Linked DNA regions of Macaca fascicularis. The protein of the gene in region 1 interacts with the protein of each later gene in a biochemical or structural test. Links are inferred from orthologs where the notes say so. Each region holds a gene or a part of one and is shown in the gene's direction. Other genes may lie near its edges. The genes, in order: TMED10 and COPG1.

The links.
Region 2: the proteins of TMED10 (region 1) and COPG1 form a complex in vitro, tested with the Homo sapiens proteins (2 studies listed by BioGRID). The link is inferred for Macaca fascicularis from reciprocal best matches to the Homo sapiens genes TMED10 and COPG1.

Annotation. Positions count from the first base shown.
Region 1 is NC_088381.1:143,084,446-143,088,262, reverse strand, and holds part of TMED10 (transmembrane emp24 domain-containing protein 10), read left to right. Parts: intron 1-2,481; coding exon 2,482-2,608; intron 2,609-3,353; coding exon 3,354-3,475; 3' UTR 3,476-3,817. UniProt on the Homo sapiens protein: Cargo receptor involved in protein vesicular trafficking and quality control in the endoplasmic reticulum (ER) and Golgi.
Region 2 is NC_088376.1:154,147,013-154,151,416, reverse strand, and holds the end of COPG1 (coatomer subunit gamma-1), read left to right. Parts: intron 1-663; coding exon 664-802; intron 803-1,019; coding exon 1,020-1,118; intron 1,119-3,107; coding exon 3,108-3,238; 3' UTR 3,239-3,594; downstream 3,595-4,404. UniProt on the Homo sapiens protein: The coatomer is a cytosolic protein complex that binds to dilysine motifs and reversibly associates with Golgi non-clathrin-coated vesicles, which further mediate biosynthetic protein transport from the ER, via the Golgi up to the trans Golgi network.

The DNA of each region.
Region 1 (3,817 bases):
CTTTATACTGTCTCATTTAGGAAGCTCAGAGTGGGGAAGTATAGAGCAGGAGGGAAGATGTTAGACTAAGGTTCAGCTTGTATAGCTCCTCTTATTTTTCTTGGGGAATGTTTTTTTGTTCTGCAGCTCTATATGAGATCAATGAATAGATATACATTCTGGGTTAATGACAAAACCTGGCATTTGGCCATTCACTTAAGAAAGTTAGCTCTGTGCATTAACTGTTGGTTAAATCTTACACCCAGAAGCTGTTCTGCAGTTACCAGTCACACCGTTAACTCTAGCCAACATTTTATAAATGCAAGAAAATGTGCATCTGGTGAGAGAAAACGTAGGTGTATCATCGCGTCTATCACCATATTTTTATGAACCTTAAATATAAACTCAATTTTTACATCCCAATCTTAACAGCAGTTTGTTTTATTTTAAATAACTTTTGTTCATCACACATTTAGTGAAAAATGTAATAAGAAAATGTAAAATAAATTCCTCCTATTCATCCCTTGTTAACTGCTGTTAACATTTCACAAAGAGAAAGAACAAGGACAATGAATTGAACAAAGGAGAGGAAAAAAAGTGGGCCATAGGGAATGTAAATAAATAGGGAGTAAAGAAGCAGATATAGAAACAGAATTATTAGGTGTAACCAGATGTGGTGGCTCACACCTGTAATCCCAGTACTTTGGGAGATCAAGGCGGGTGGATCACTTGAGGTCAGGAGTTCGAGACCAGCCTGGCCAACGTGGTGAAATCTCATCTCTGCTGAACATATAAAAATTAGCCAGGTGTGGTAGCGCACACCTGTAATCCCAGCTACTCAGGAGGCTGAGGTGGGAGAATTTTTTTGAACCTGTGAGGCAGAGGTTGCAGTGAGCCAAGATCACACCACTGTACTCCAGCCTGGGCAACAGAGTGAGACTCCATAAATAAATAAATTAATTAAATTAATAAAAAGAAAGAAAGATAGTTATTAAAGAATTCTCTACGTGGAAACTTTAAGAGCAACTGGTATGTAGAAGTTTTAAGATCTAGAAAGCTGGCCAGGCGTGACGGCTCACGCCTGTAATCTCAGCACTTTGGGAGGCCGAGGCAGGTGGATCACGAGGTCAAGAGATTAAGACCATCCTGGCCAACATGGTGAAACCCCACCTCTACTAAAAATACAAAAAATTAGCTGCGTGTGGTGGCGCATACCTGTAGTCCCAGCTACTTAGGAGGCTGAGGCAGGAGAATCACTTGAACCTGGGAGGCGGAGGTTGCAGTGAGCCAAAATCGTGCCATTGCACTCTAGCCTGGCAACAGAGCGAGACTCTATCTCAAAAAAAAAAAAAAAAAAAAAAAAAAAATCAGGAAAGCTCTGGTGGTGTATCCCATTTTAAAGCAAAGCATAATCTAAGATTGATAAGAAAAAAAACATAGAATAGTGCAATCTTTGGTGTGATAGATGCCTCTAGTTATTGGATACTCTTAAGAGTTTTCTTAGGGATCTAACTTGAGAACAGAAGACAGTTAATTTCTTTCTGACATCCTTCATTCCTCAGCATACAGGGAATTCCTTGGAGATTTCTTTTGATAACTGTGTCATTCTAAAAGAAAAAAAAATGCATAAAAAATTCAGTGCAGTTTTCTCACATCTGAGCTCTGATACTAAACCTTAAAAGTTGTTGTAGGATTTATATGAACAAACCAGAATTCTCTAATTGTGTATTTTGAAGTATTACTTTAATGCTCTAATAACACATGCTCACATTCATATGTACTGTCAAAGGTTTAATGAATTTAGTGGTTTTTCTTCTAAAACCAGGTTTGACCTAATATGACTCACATTTATTATATTAATAATGTTGTTTACTTCTTAGACATGAGTGGAAGGGCAAAGTAAAGTGCTTTACTAAAGTCAAAAATCAGCTGGGCATGGTGGTTCACACTTGTAGTCCCAACACTTTGGGAGGCTGAGGCAGACAGATTGCTTGAGCTTAGGAGTTGGAGACCAGCCTGGGCAACATGGCAAAACCCCATCTCTACAAAAAGTGCAAAAATTAGCTGGGTGTGGCGCTGCATGACTGTGGTCCCAGCTACTCGGGATGCTGAGGCAAGAGGATTGCTTGAGCCCAGGAGGTCGAGCCTGCAGTGAGCCAAGACTATGCCACTGCACTGCAGTCTGGGCAACAGAGTAAGACTCTGTCTCAAAAAAAAAAGTAAAAATCTTGAGACAATAGTATATCTTGCTTTATAGCCTGCGGTTATTATATTACTTGTAAAGAGATTTTAGTCAAAATTAAAGTATAAAAAAAGGTCTGAAATGGAAAGATACAGTCTATAGGGAAAGAAACAAGCCCAAATTTTAAAATATGTTAGGATGATTGATAGGAGAGAATTTAAATCTGGTGAAACTTTAAAAAAGACTCTTCTGTTGCCTTCTTTATGTTCTTGACTGAAGCGATGTTTTCAGAGAGCTGAAAATATTCCATTCTTTTCCAGATTGCAAAAGTTGAGAAGCTCAAACCGTTAGAGGTAGAGCTGCGACGCCTAGAAGACCTTTCAGAATCTATTGTTAATGATTTTGCCTACATGAAGAAGAGAGAAGAGGAGATGCGTGATACCAACGGTGAGGGGGAAGGCGACTCTTACTTCTTAAGTGACCCATAAATGAGACAGTCTCCAAACTTTCAATTCTGGTGTATCCTTTTCTCAGTTTTGCCAAGGCGGGTATATGGAAGGGAAATTGCTTACTTCGCTGCTGTTGTTGCTAAAGGTAAATGAGCCTTGTTAGATTTTCAAGAGAGTAGAAATTGCTACTGTGATAGGCAGTTGACAGCATCCTCAATTAGTCTATACCCATATCAAATTGATAGCAGCAAGCTTTGTTATTTTCAACATTTATATATAGGATAATGAACTTTTTTTTTTTTTTTTTTTTTTTTGAGACGGAGTCTCACTCTGTGGCTCGGGCTGGAGTACGGTGGTGTGATCTTGGCTCACCGCAACCTCCGCCTCCTGGGTTCAAGCGATTCTCCTGCCTCAGCCTCCCAAGTAGCTGGGACTATAGGCGCGTGCCACCACGCCCGGCTAATTTTTCATATTTTTAGTAGAGACAGAGTTAGCCAGGATGGTCTCGATCCCCTGACTTCATGATCCACCTGCTTCAGCCTCCCAAAGTGCTGGGATTACAGGCATGAGCCACCACGCCCAGCCAGGATAATGAACTTAAAAAAAAAAATTATCTGAAATCCTACTATTAGACCTAGGGACAGAGTGAAGTTAATTAATTGCCTTTACATTGCTCCCCTGCCATTGTTTAGCCAGCTGAGGAGGCTCACTCATTATGTTTACAATGTTTTTGTTTTTTTTAGAGTCAACAAACACTCGGGTCCTATACTTCAGCATCTTTTCAATGTTCTGCCTCATTGGACTAGCCACCTGGCAGGTCTTCTACCTACGACGCTTCTTCAAGGCCAAGAAGTTGATTGAGTAATGAATGAGGCATATTCTCCTCCCACCTTGTACCTCAGCCAGCAGAACATCGCTGGGACGTGCCTGGCCTAAGGCATCCTACCAACAGCACCATCAAGGCATGTTGGAGCTTTCTTGCCAGAACTGATCTCTTTTGGTGTGGGAGGACGTGGGGTACCACCTACACCCAACAAATCAATGAGGGACTTTTTAATTTGGTAGGATTTTGACTGGTTTTGCAACAATAGGTCTATTATTAGAGTCACCTATGACAAAAAAATAGGGGTTACCTAGATAATGCCAAAGTCAGCATTTGTCCTGGGTTCCCTTGTGTGATCTGTTTGGAGTATGTTTTCTTTTCTCC
Region 2 (4,404 bases), on another chromosome or scaffold:
GCTGGGTCTGTTTGAGCCCACCCAGAGATGATAGAAAAAAAAAAAAAAAAGAGCTGGGTCGAAGTTGTATTTATATACACTGTAAACATCCACAGGAGTAGGGCCTCAGTGAAAATCTGATGGGAGAACGAATGGGGAACCTTCATGTGGACTCAGTGGGAGTATTATGTGTCAAGTTCAGAGAAGACACAGCTGAAATGGAGACAGAGATTCAGGATCTGTCAAATCCAGAGGACACAGCTGGGGTAGGAGGTTTCTGCTGAACTAGAAACAGCTGCTGCTCCTGAAGAGCTCATCATCCCCTAGAAATGACAGGCATAGGAAGCAGACCTCTGAGAATGCTATGTAATTCCCTGTATGCCAGATCCTGGAAGCACTGACACTAGGCAGGCTTAAAAGAGATGTGATCTCACAGCAGGCAGCTCTAGGATGAGTTAGTAGATTGGTACTTGGGATTAGGGCATTTTCTGTTGAAGGGATACCACTTGCCTGTGGGCACCTCAAGGATAGGTACCTGGTCAAGTTGTTCTGTGTCCCCAGAGTCTAGCACAGTCCTCAGTGCCGAGCAAGCACCTGCAGAAAGAGTTGGCAGGAAGGGATGTGTGGATGAGTTCAGAGCAGAGTGTGTGGATGGGTGCTTGATTTCTATCTCCATCTCTCCAGCTGGAAGATTTGGAAGTTACTGTAGCTGATCACATTCAAAAGGTCATGAAACTGAACTTCGAAGCAGCCTGGGATGAGGTAGGGGATGAATTTGAGAAGGAGGAAACATTCACCTTGTCTACCATCAAGACACTTGAAGGTAAAATCCTGGGAATGCCACCTCTGGCCTACTTGCCGTTCAAGATCTTTGGGTACTGTTGAAGTGCTTATACCTTTTCTCTCCAAGGATCCAGGGCCATGTCTGGGGCACATATGTCAAATGCCATTTCATTAAAAGCCCTTCAGAACATGGGGGAGTGGTGGTGGCACAAAGGGCAGACAAGATGGCTTAACAATATTGGGATTTCTCACTATAGAGGCTGTGGGTAATATTGTGAAGTTCTTGGGAATGCACCCTTGTGAGAGGTCAGACAAAGTGCCGGATAACAAGAATACCCACACGTTGCTTCTGGCTGGTAAGTGGCATTTCCAGGTGGGGAGGGCCTGGATAGCTTACAGCCTGGATGTCCACTGGATCCTGGGCTAAGGACTTAACTGTAAATACGGGGAGTCAAAATTCACAGCATTTAAAATTCGCAAACTATAAAATAATCTGCAGCGAAATGTTTCCACCTTACCTTGGCTGCCAGCCATTGAGATTCCCTTCCAAGAAACGACCAGTGTTACTATTACAAACAATGCCTGTATAACCTTGCAGTTATTTTATTGCTATAAAGGAACACATTTCCTTTTTTTAACTCAAATGTTTATGTACAAATGGTATATTGTCCTGCAATTTGCTTTTCACTTTACGATGCATCTTAAGAGATCTTTCCTGCCAATATGTAGAGCTTCCTCATTCTTTTTCTTTTAATTGTGGTAAAATATACATAAAATTCACCATTTCAGCCATTTTCAAGTGTGTGGTTCAGCGGCATTAAGTACATTCACACTATTGTAAAACTATGACCACTATCCATCTCCAGAACTTTTTTCATCCCAAACTGAATCCTTTTTTTTTTTTTTTTTTTTTTTTTTATAGCTGCTTAGTATTCCATTGTGTGGATGCACCACATATTCTGTGGAACAGCCGCTACTGATGAACATTTAGTTTGATTTCAATCTGTTGCTATTACAGATGTTACAGTAAATAATCGTGTACACACACACACAATTTACTTTGCATGTGTACACTGAGAATATCTGTAGGATAAATTTTCCAAGGCATCACCAGGTCAAAGTGATTTGTGTTTCTCATCTTGATAAATAACTCCAAGTTGCCTTTCATAGAATTGTATACCTTTTTTCCTACACTGTGGACAACACAATATGTTACCACACTTTATGATCTTTGCCAGTCTGTGTGGACAATGATATCTTAGTGTAGTTTTTGTATTTTCATTGAAGTTAAGTATCTTCTCAAATGTTGAGGCATTTGTATTTCCTTTTCTGATCACTGTCTTCATATCCTTTGTCTTATTTTCTACAGGGTTGGCTGAGTGTACCTGCACTCATTCTCCTTCCCAGATTACTTACTAGCAAACTCCAGAAATAGCATTTTATATGTAAATTCTTCTGTATCTTTATGTTTCTCTAAGAGATAATGACCCCTGCCCTTTTTTAAAGGACAATACAATTATCATACCTAAAACAGTTAACAAAAGGAAATGGGATGATTTTTTTTTGGCTAAGTGTTTATAAACAGGGTTGAAAGGAGGCTCTGCTTCAGTACCCTGTCTACAGCTGACAGTTTGTAGCCACATTGAAACAACCCAGTCCCCTGGGTCTTGCAGACACCTGCCCTGTGGTTTTCTCGTGGTGGGGCTGTCCCCTTCATTTGTGCTGTCAGATTCAGCCAACATGCAAGAGCCTATGTGACGTCAGATACGAGCCTTTTATGTCCATCAATTCATTTGAACTTAGCAGAAGCCTGAATATGGTATTATCATCCCCGCCATTTTGTAGTTGAGGATACTGAAGCCCAGAGAGACAGTGACTTTTTTTTTTTTTTTTGAGACGGAGTCTAGCTGTGTCACCCAGGTTGGAGTGCAGTGGCACAATCTCTGCTCACTGCAACCTCCGCCTCCCGGGTTCAAGTGATTCTCCTGCCTCAGCCTCCCGAGTAGCTGGGATTTCAGGCGCCCACCACCATGCCCAGCTAATTTTTGTATTTTTAGTAGAGATGGGGTTTCACTGTGTTGGCCAGGCTGGTCTCAAACTCCTGACCTCATGATCCACCCACCTCGGCCCCCCAAAGTGCTGGAATTACAAGTGTGAGCCACCGTGCCCAGCCGAGAGTCAGTGACTTTCACAGTGAAATCCCTCACTCAGGGATTTCAGCCCAGCTCTCCTGCCCATTTCACTATACCACAGCTGTCTTGATGGGCTGCTGCAAATGCCATCCTTAGCCTGCCCTGTACAATCCCTTCTGCTGTATATACCTGTACTTCTGTCTTCCCTTCTAGGTGTGTTCCGGGGTGGTCATGACATCCTGGTGCGTTCCCGGCTGCTGCTTTTGGACACAGTGACAATGCAGGTGACAGCCAGAAGTTTGGAGGAGCTGCCAGTAGACATCATCTTGGCATCTGTGGGATAAGCAGCCAGCCTGCATAGGACCTTATGCCCTTCCCCCCCAACACTACCTGGAAGTTGTGCCTTCCTCATGAAACTGGCGGAAACCCCTTCCCAAGCTTCTGTATTCAAAAACAATTAGGAATCATTGCAGATTTTTTTTTTTATTCTGCCCTTACCCCCCACCCGGGACTACTTGGGGGTGCCTTTTTTTTTTTTTTTTTTTTTTAATAGGGAATGATTTTAGCTTGTCCTAAATCTTGCTATCCTTCCTTCCAGGAAAGGGACATTGTAAATGAATAAAACATTCTCGACTCCTCTTGAATTTATCCCCCAAGAAACCATCTTATCCCTCTAATAAATCAGCATGTATTTATTGAATGATTGCTACACCTTCCCCTTCAAGGCCTCCCCCAAGAGGCAGAACACGTGCCCTGTCCCCCTTGTACCCACAGCCCTTTGGCTGTTTTAATCCTGTGAGGCAGGACCCTCTCCCCGTCATCGCTGTCCCAGCACCAAGCCCAGGGGTGGGAGCGGTACAGGTTAGTTGAGTGAATCAGCTAACAGGCACTGAGTTCCCACTCCCTCCCACTCGTGCTTCTTCGCAACGCATCCTCCTCTGGTAGTCGATAAACGGAGGCTCCAAAGGGCTTGGGTCCTGTGGCCGTTCCAGCATCAGGTCCTATGTGGAGTGTGCCCTGGGGTTTCTGCTACCTGTTCAGCGAATCAGCATAGGCGAAGAACAGCCCTCTAGAGTATTCTCTGTTGGTTGCAGATAAAGAAATCTCCGGTTTAGGTCCCAAGGGGAGCAGGCTTTTAAACTCAAGCCAGGTTATTTTACCAACTTTGAGAACAAAGTACACCCGTAAGGACTGTTTTAAAAATTTGGGCCTCACCCTTAGAGATTCAGCTGGCGGGCTGGGGTGCGGGGACAGAAAAGGCTCATTCTAGTGTACACCATCGTTTGAGGGCTAAGTGCGCGATTCCTGAAAGTTCTCCAGACTTCCATTTATTCAGTGTTCCTCCATTTTTGCCTCGCACTGTGAGGCGGCTGGCACGACTGTGAAGTAAGGAGTGGAGTTTCCTGGTTTCCCGCCTTCGATGACCCTGTGCCCTAGACTCAGGGCGGCGGGAACCTTCCCCGCCGGCGGCCCTGAGGCGCGCTGGGGGCGGGGAGGAAGGTTAACCCCG